Rattus norvegicus: one gene and its partner. The protein of the gene in region 1 interacts with the protein of each later gene in a biochemical or structural test. Links are inferred from orthologs where the notes say so. Each region holds a gene or a part of one and is shown on either strand. Other genes may lie near its edges. The genes, in order: Plxnd1 and Sema4a.

Region 1 (4,571 bases):
AGCCTGAGGAATCCCGCAGAACCCTTCATCGGCTAGGGGCCCACAAAGGGCTGCCTCCCTTGCCCACAGAGCTTCCCTTTTCCTACACTCCCAGTCCTCAGATCCAGTCAGACACAGCCATGGCAAGGTTGTGGCTCCATAGAGAAGAAGGGTGGCTGCCCTCACCCTGCAGTCTGCACAGGGTCTGACCCCGCCGGGTGGTAGGGCTACAAGCTACACGCTTCAGATAGTCCGTCTGCCTCTCACCCGCTATGACCTTTCTTGTAAGGGGTCAATCGGCAGGGTGGTAGGCGGCTGAGGGAGTCTTTGCCAAGAGAAGGAATCTGGGCTTGCTCAAAGCCCCAGTGTTGGGCACGCCCACGGGATCGTCTTGCTGCCCCTGAGGACCACAGAGAAAGAGACAAGGCAGGGAGCCTCAGTGAGCACAGAAGGCTGGGCTTAGCCCTTTGTAAACTCAGTATCTTTGGGGGAATGGAAAGAGAGTTCTGCTGTGAAATGATTTGAGGGGACTGGCTGTACCCAAGGCCAATTCACTTGGTGATCCCCTAACCTGGCTCTCTTGCCCATCCTGAGACCCCACCTCACTCTCAGCCCTATAGTTCTCCGCCAAAGACCCCTGCCAAAGACTCCTTTCCATCTTCAGTGGCTCCATTTGTCCTGGGCTGCCTGGACGCCCCCCACTCCACATCTGTAAGGCAGCAAAGCCCCAGCACCATGGACACACGCTGGGACCGGACAGCTTGTGTTCAAGTCCCACCTCTGCTACTTTTCAACTGTTGGACTCTGAGCATCCCCTAAAACTTAACACCCATTTCTTCATCTGTATGTACAAAGGGACGAGGACAGGCATTTGTTGAAGACATCTGACACATGACACACTGGTCTATGGTTCTCAATCTTCCTAACGCTGTGACCCTCTAATGCAGTTGTGGTGATCTCCGACTATAAAATTATTTCGTTGCTACTACTTCATAACTGTAATTTTGCTACCGTTATGAATCACGATGATATGCAGGACAATGCAACCCCTGTGAAAGGGTTGCTTGACTCCACAGAGGTCACAACCCACATGTTGAGAATGGTTGGCTTAGGTCCACAACATTTGTATTCACAGGTCTGCCATGCCACCTGCTAGATGCTCAGCTGCTATGTGTTGAGTGGCCTCGAGCACACACCTGTTTGCCAACCAGGTGGCCTCTCCAGGGAACCAATCACACTTCCCAAATACCAGAGTCCCCTGGCACAGACTCCCACCAGGAGTCTACATCCCTGCATGTCTACACTCTTGGGGTCTCCGATGAGTGTCCCTGTCACATACTCAGCCCTTCCATCCCACCCTCTCTTTATCTTCAGGACCAGGTGCCACACCCATCACACATCTGCCAGGGTGCAGAGGTATGTCCTAAGGGTACCCGCAGTCTCCCTAAACACACTCTTGGTGTCACTCCCTCTCTCGGTTCAGCACGCACCTGTGCCCCCGCCCCCTGCAGAGCTGATTTGTAGGTGCGCTGTCTTGGGGGAACACCTGGGTATCTTGACAACCTAGACCTCCCCACTTAGGTGTGTGCACCTGTGACCCAGTACGCTCCCGGGCCAGCATCAATCCTCTGGGACATCTGCGTGCATACTGTATCCCAACTCACTCTTCGGGTCCATGGCTTACCTGTATGTTGCGTTTGCTCTCGCAGGCCGGTCCGGTGCCCTGAACCACGCTGTCCAGCACCGCCACCACGTCCGGCGCCGGCTCCACAAAGCAGGCGGTGCGCGCTGCACGAATGGCGGCCTGCACGTCGGCGAAGCGGAAGGCGCAGAGCGCGGCCGGGGCGTTGCGGGCACCTGGGGTGCCCTGGGGCCGCTCGAAGACAGCGAAGAACTGCTCGCGCGCGGGGAAGACCGACACGAGGCGGCTGTAGAGGTCACCCCGGCCCGCGCCGCCCGCGCACTGCAAGCCCAGTTGGATGTAGGACTCGGTGAGCTTCTTGGCGTCGCCACCCGCGCCGCGGGGCAGGCAGATGCGCGCCAGCAGGCTGCGCGCCTGGCTGTCTTTATCGCCCGCACGCGCCTCGCTGTTGAGCGCCAGGTACGCGTAGGGATGCGCGCTGTGCGGTGGCACCGCCGGGTGCAAGAAGGCACGCACGAAGCCCAGCTTGTGCTGCTCCTTGGCTCCCTGTTTGATCTTCAGTATGTTGTCGTCCGACGGGTTGAGGTCGAAGGTGAAGAGCTTAGCCAAGTCTCCACGCGCGTCCAGGGAGCGGATAGAGATCTCGGGCGTGTTCTCGAAGCGGTGGTCTTCTAGGCTACGGTTGCGCGGGAAGAAAGCGCTTCCGTAGCCGGTGTACGTGGCGCCCACGAGCAGACGGCTGCCCCCGGTGCCGGAGGCCGGCGGCAGCACTAGTCCCACGGTGGACGCGTTGGGGTGGTTGGCGGCCACGTTGAGCATGCTGGGGAACACGGTGACCGGTTCTGCGGTCGGCGCGGCAGGCGGAAAGCTCACAGCCAGGGCTGAGATGTTGCCCCGGCGCCTCAGTTGGCACAGACCCTGGTAGATGGAGCCGCACGCGACCACCAGACCCTGGCCCGGGTCCAACTGCAAGATTTTGTTGTAGTTGTCCGTGAGGCGCCGCGGGTGCTCGCACGAGGCCTGCGGGAGCTGCGGGGCGTGACACAGCGGGCTGTCCGGCACCGGACCCACGGTCGCCTCGGCCTCCAGGCTCAAGTTGGCACCGGACAGCTGGTACAGGCGGTTCACCGCCGCCAGGTATACGGTGCCCGCCGTGCCGTCCAGGGCGAAGTTGTTGGTGGGCGTGGGCGAGGGGAAGCGGCGCTGTATCTCTAGGGCGCCCGCCCGTGCCGCCCCAAGCAGCAGCAGCAGAGGCAGCGGCAGCAGACCGGGGCACCGCGAGTGAGAGCGCGGAGGCAAGGGGACCGCCGCAGCGGCCCGGGCGCTAGGGGGTGCGCCGCCCGCGGCGCGAGGAGCCATCCAGGCGAGCGCGGGCTGCGCGGCGCGGCGAGTGCATGGGGCGCGGCGCGGCCGGGAGCCGGGAGCTCGGAGGCGGCGAGAGGCGGGGGGCGGGCCCGGGCCGCGAGGCGCTTCCTGCCCGCGCCTGCCGCCCCCGGCCCCGGCGCCCCGGCCCGACTCTGGCGCGGCGCTCAGCCCGGGGGCGGCTCCGTGGAGGCCACGCCCACAGTCCATCCCTGTCCCAGCCGCTTGGTCCACGCCCTTTAGCCCTGGGCCACGCCCCCGGGCCACGCCCCGGGCCACGCCCCGCGGTCCGGGGTCGCTGCTGGCCGTTACTCCGGCAGTCCCAAGTTGCCTGCCACTTCCCTGGTTCCTGGCCACCACATGGAATGTCTTCCTCACGCTTGTTTGTTATCCTTCCTCTTTCTCCTCGTTCTAGTCCTTTTCCTCTTCTGTTTCTGGGCTCCGGTTTGCCTTCCACCGCAGCTCAGAGTTTCGCTCTCTCAATCTCTCCGACTCCTCTACTCTGATCCAGTCAACTCCGCCCCGTGCCTCTCCCGCGTCACACCCTCTCCCTCATCTGTGTTTCTCTCTCTTTTTTTCCTTTCTGTTCCCGCAGCTCTCCCTCTCTATCTTTTCCTCTCCTTGCCCCTAAAGACCTCCATTTCCCCTCAGCCCACCTACCCCTTCTGGCCACAGCACCCACCCCCCACCCCCGCCCTCCTCCCCCTCTGCTCCTCCTCCCCTCCACATGTTCTCCAAGCCTCCTTTTAAAGGCCAGCCAGACCTGGGACATCAGGCCCCTGGGACCCCATGGTCTGTTCCCAAAACTGCCCTGTAAAGGGAGTTCACAAGCAGCAGGCATCCAGGACAAGCTAAGACAAGTAGAAAATTGTTGAGAGAAAGTATATCCCTCTTGGAAGGGCGGGCTGGGCTGAGCAAGGACACCACAGGGCCTTGGTTTCTGGAAAGAGGCAAACCCTGTGGCCCTCCAGGACCTTGCCCCTTAGTCCAAGGTTCTGAGAAAACCTAAAGTCCTTCCACATATGAGCTGGCAGTGGGCACCAGACTCCTTTGATGTCAACTTCAAAGGAACTGGTAGGCACTGGGATAAAGGCAAGTAGTCCTCTTCCTAAGGTCACAGACACCCATGCATGCGGTCATCTCCACAACATGGGGGTGCCCACATGGGATCACACCAAAAGCCAGCTTCCTTAGAAATATTCAACCCATTTTACATACATGGAAACTGAGGCCCTAGAAGTAAAGCTAATGGGGAAGGTGAGACACAGATCCAGTGTTTGAAGCCACAGTCCCAGTTCTCAGTCAGGGGCCCCTACCAGCTACAGCTGTCAACTTGAGGCCTGATAGCCCTTTCTCAGAGGGTGACCTTGCTCCTCACCAATGGGGTGAGGAGGGGCTTTCCCTGCGTCTGAAGGGTCAGCAGCAAGGGCTCAGAATACAGCCATCCCCAGTTCCCTGGCCCCCACCCCAGCCTTCCTGTCTCTCCTCACCTGCCTGCCTGCCTGCCCGCCTGTCTGCCTGCCATGTTCCAGCCCATTCATGGCCTTGACTTTGATGGTCAGGAGTGAGGAAATTGGAGACTTATGTC
Region 2 (4,597 bases), on another chromosome or scaffold:
GAAGCACCTAGGCTGAAGTGGACATCAGATGGCCTCTCTTCGGGGAGATTTCTGTTCTTTCTGAGTCAGGAATCATGCAGAATGATTGGTTCCTGACTGGAGGAGAGAGAGCCCCTGCTCCTCCCACCCTGATGCCTGCTTACTCCCTCTGGAGCAGTTCTGAGCTGAGTTAATCCAGTAGGGCAGGAGATGGGACTGAAGGAGCCAGCCATGTAGGGAGAGCTTCCGAATTAGACAGGTCTGAAGTAGATGGGCACCAGGCTGTCCAGCCACCCCGGCTGCACTTCCCTTCTCTGTGCAAGAAGACTGGAGTGGAGCCTGCCTGCTAAAGTTGGGAAGCCTGAAGACCAGTGAGAGCTCTTCACATTGTCAGAGGGACTGGGAGACCACTTGGTCTTGTGAGGAGGTCCAAGGACAGAAACAGAGTAGAGAGATGGCATTAGAGCTGTTCCTCTGGTTCCCCTGTCACAGCTCCTCCCTGTGACCCAGATAGGGTAATCTGTCTCCAAAGAGAGGCCCTGGGGTAGTGGCTTCCCAAGCCTGAGCTAGAGGTCAAGGAGACCCAGGAGATTGTGTCAGAATAGAGAGATTCGCAGAGTTCTCACAGTGAGCATTAGAGTTTGGGGGTGTCTTTTAAGCTTTGACAGATGTAGCCATCAGGAGAGTCTGTGTGAGCCCAGCTCCTGCGGCACAGCAGAGAAGGGGAACAGAGGGAAAAGCATGAAGGGAAAGCCAAGCGGGCTCTACTGAGGAATGCTTCCAGTCTAGGAGCTGTGACCGAAGGGTGGAGGATAGCCTACAGTGGGCAGTGAGAATTGTGTTTAGGATGAAGACAGGGTATGTCTTGGAGGTAGACCAGCCTTGGGTCATCGTGCTCTTTAACCTGAAGTCAGCTGACCTGGGTGAGTGGGCAGCAGCCCAACCACTCTTTATTGAGCCCTTGGTTACTCATTAACCCTGCGTTATGAGGTTTTCCTGGAACCTTTGGGGAGGAGGAACCAGCCACCATTCCAGCTGGGTGTCTCAACTCCAAAGTGTATCCCATGAAGCATGAGCTCAGATGGGAAATTTCTTGAATTTCCCACTGAGACATTAAATTACTAGGGCTTCCTCAAGCAAAGCTATAGGGGAAAAAACCGAATACAAACGTAAGGTGTTTTTCTTTTCTTGTTTATTTGTTTTGAGACAGGGTTTCACTCCGTAGCCCTGGATGTCCTGTAGCTCACTCTGTAGACCAGGCTGGCTTTGAACTCAGAGACAGATCTGCCTGCCTCTGCCTTCTGAGTGCTGAGATTAAAGGTATGTGCCACCATGCCTGGCTTTAAATGTGTAACCTTTCAAGAATGTGGTCCCTCTGGGTGTGGGAGGTGGAGAAGTCGAAGTATGTGGCAGTGGGGGAACCCCACTATGGGGAAGAAAAGAATAGAAATGACAATGTCATACTGAGCTCTCTTGAGCAAGAGGAGTCTGCAGCTTAGGCTGGTTAGACTGGAAGTGATGTACTAGAGAAACAAGGCATCACTGAACTAACTGGCCTAAAAGGAACTCTTAATTTCTGGAGAGACTAAGGAGGGAGGGAGGTGTGTCTCCTGCAAGGTCTGCAAGCCTCACCCCCACTTCCCCCCTCCACCAGTCTCCCCGCCCTGATCCACCAACTTCCGCCCAAGCCAGCCAGGATCTGTCACAACTCGAGGTAGAAATTCTGGTTTCCCTGGCCTGAAACCCACACTGGCTCTGGCAGGATGAGTGCCTGGAGGGCCGCGCTCCCATTCCAGCCAGGCTGAGCCTGCTTTCCATGCCCGGACCCCCTTCCTTGCCTTGGATGGCACCCTGATTCAGGGTTTGAACACAGGACTTCTCCGTGTGGCTGGCTCAAGGGTATGTGAGATAATGGTGGGGAGTGAGGGGGACTTGCATTCAGTGGCCACAGGGAGGCTGATGCAGAGCTCCAAGGAGGCAGACAACAGAGACAGGGGGGCTGGAGAAATTAAGAGTCTACCAGTGACTCCCGCCCCGCCCCTCCCAGGAAATCAGAGGACTGGCCAGACTGGTAGATAAATTGACATGCCCCTACCCCTAAGAGGAAGGCTAGATGGGCTCAATTAAGCAAGAGTCAGAGCCCCTGGGGCTGGGGGAGAGGGTAGGCTGTCTGCCTGGGTTGAGGTGAGTAGCGAGGTATGAGGTGTCACAGTGCCGAGTGGCAGGCCAGCCTGGGGACTCTACCTTTTGCATACAGGACCTAGTTCCCCAGAAACCTTTTGCCCAGGGCCAGAGATGATCAGAGCTCTGGAGTCTAGGGCCAGGAAATACTAAGGGGCAAGAGTGAGAAGGAATTTTCCTGTGAGGCAGGTGAGAAATGGTAAGGTAGTTTTTTAATAGTAGGAGACCAGAGGCACAGCGTAGGCCACAGCAGCACCCTGCACAGAGGGCATCAGCAGGCAACATCGAATCTGGGAATGCATGGAAGTGAGACTCCGAGGGCCCTTCCAGAGAGGAACTTCTGCCCCTCCAGGGCTTTCCTATTGGCCCTCAGGAAGGGTGTGGTAAGCATGGCTAACCCAGAAAGTGCCTGTTTCCTCAGAACCATCTGGTGACTGTCTCCGGATGACCATGGCCCTACCATCCCTGGGCCAAGACCCCTGGAGTCTCCTGAGTGTTTTTTTCTTCCAACTGTTCCTGCTGCTGTCACTGCCACCAGCTTCCGGGACTGGTGGGCAGGGACCCGTGCCCAGAGTCAAGTACCATGCGGGTAAGTGTCTGCTACCTGGGAGGCATGGATGCGTGGTAGAGATGAAGGGACTGAGGAAGGAGAAGAGTGTGCCAGAGAGAATGAAACAGGATGGAGAAACAGATGTCAGGTAGCCTCGGAGGGCCTGGGAGAAGAGGAGGCTACTCGAGGCACAAGTTGGTGTGGAAGGGAAGGAAGGGTCACTGTCACTCTCCCGTCTCTGCCAAGTTTTTCTCCCTCAAGTGTCACAGTAACCAAGCAGGGAACCTTAAATTCCTGACTACTTGCTCAGCACCAGGGGCCCTAAAGCCAAAGTTCAGGCTAGATTGTCTGAGGAGCTGGAAGCCCGAGCCAATGGCAGAGGTCACACCAGGCCAGATCCTGTCCAGTAGGATGGGCACCAGGAGAAGGGATCCTAGCAGCTCACCCAGTCAAAATGGTTTCTTGATAAGGCTGTTGGGCTTCTGACACCTTTAGTTCCAGGAAATGCCCCAGGGGAAGTCACCCACACGCTTGCACACACACACACTGGCACACACACACACACACACACCCCTCGCTCACGAATACAGAAGTAAGGCAGTTCGGTTCACAGCTATAGCTTAGCATCCTTCTGAGGCAAAATGGTAAAGGAGGTGGACCGGCCAGCAGAAAGAGAGGGCATCTCTGGGTGGGACAGGAGTGCAGACACAAACAAGGCTGCATTTCAAGGGGACAAACAAGGAGGAGCCCTCTTCAGAGTTGAGGGGAGGCCAACCTATGTACCACCTTTTCCCATTTTGTTTTCAGAGTCCTCTTGGCCCCCAAATTTCCTGAGGACAAAACAGTAACAACCAGGTTGTCCTCTGACTAAAGTAAAAGGCCAAATGTGCTCACGAGAGAATTTCTGAAGTGCTCACTCCTCCCTGCTGATGGGCCCGTGTGGCAGGAGCCTACACACTCCACAAGGCTAGGTAGCAAATATGCTCTACTAACCAACATATTCGGCACCAGGTGGCACCGAGGCATGCCCACACTGATGGGGCTCAGGCATGCCCACGCTGATGGGCCTCAGAGACAGAGGAAGCAGCGTTTTCAGCCGCAGCCCTGCTAGTGACGGGCAACTCTTATAACAGAGCAAGGGGAGGAAACAGAGGAAATGGGGGTGGCAGGAATCTGTAACCATGATAAGTCTTGTGGCAAATGACAGCTACCTCTGCTGCTTGTGGTTGAGAACTCCTTTCTGTGTCTACCTGTCAGCTCTTCCCTCTCCTATCCTGCCTCACTGAACCCTCCAGGCCTGAGAATGCATCATCTCCTTTTTTTTTTTTTTTTTTTTGTGCCCCAACAAGGCTATTCATTGCTATCTATGCAGTTGGAACCCAGGGTCAGTCCATGTATAGTCTTTGGGTAGTGGCTTAGTCCCTGGAAGCTCTAAGAATGTATTTTCTACCTCACTTCATGTCTGTGTCTTGAGCAGGCTTTCCCCCTAATCCCTGCAACAGCCTGAAGCTATCACTACCCTATCTTGGGCACTTTTCTGGGGACTCAGCACACAAAGTTCAGATGCCTGCTATTGGGGGTGCAGGAAACTGGGGGGGGGAGTCTGCCAGTGAAGAGTGATCTCGGGAGTGGGACGAAGCTGCTGAGGCCTGCCACCCTCCCCCACCTCTGCCTCAGAGATCAGCTACTGCTCACAGCTCCTCCTCATCCTCTCCTTATCACTGCCTCCCAACAGGAGATGGGCACAGGGCCCTCAGCTTCTTTCAACAAAAAGGCCTCCGGGACTTTGACACCCTGCTCCTGAGTGGAGATGGCAACACTCTGTATGTGGGGGCTCGGGAGGCCATCTTGGCCCTGAATATCGAGAATCCAGGAATCCCAAGGCTG

Evidence for each region.
Region 2: the proteins of Plxnd1 (region 1) and Sema4a form a complex in vitro, tested with the Homo sapiens proteins (2 studies listed by IntAct, with this or other methods). The link is inferred for Rattus norvegicus from reciprocal best matches to the Homo sapiens genes PLXND1 and SEMA4A.

The regions. Positions count from the first base shown.
Region 1 is NC_086022.1:150,712,175-150,716,745, forward strand, and holds the start of Plxnd1 (plexin-D1), read right to left. Parts: upstream 3,014-4,571; 5' UTR 2,981-3,013; coding exon 1,664-2,980; intron 1-1,663. UniProt on the Homo sapiens protein: Cell surface receptor for SEMA4A and for class 3 semaphorins, such as SEMA3A, SEMA3C and SEMA3E. Plays an important role in cell-cell signaling, and in regulating the migration of a wide spectrum of cell types.
Region 2 is NC_086020.1:176,209,342-176,213,938, reverse strand, and holds the start of Sema4a (semaphorin-4A precursor), read left to right. Parts: upstream 1-1,680; 5' UTR 1,681-1,878; intron 1,879-1,984; exon of another isoform or gene 1,985-2,163; intron 2,164-2,379; exon of another isoform or gene 2,380-2,581; 5' UTR 2,582-2,604; coding exon 2,605-2,749; intron 2,750-4,445; coding exon 4,446-4,597. UniProt on the Homo sapiens protein: Cell surface receptor for PLXNB1, PLXNB2, PLXNB3 and PLXND1 that plays an important role in cell-cell signaling. Regulates glutamatergic and GABAergic synapse development.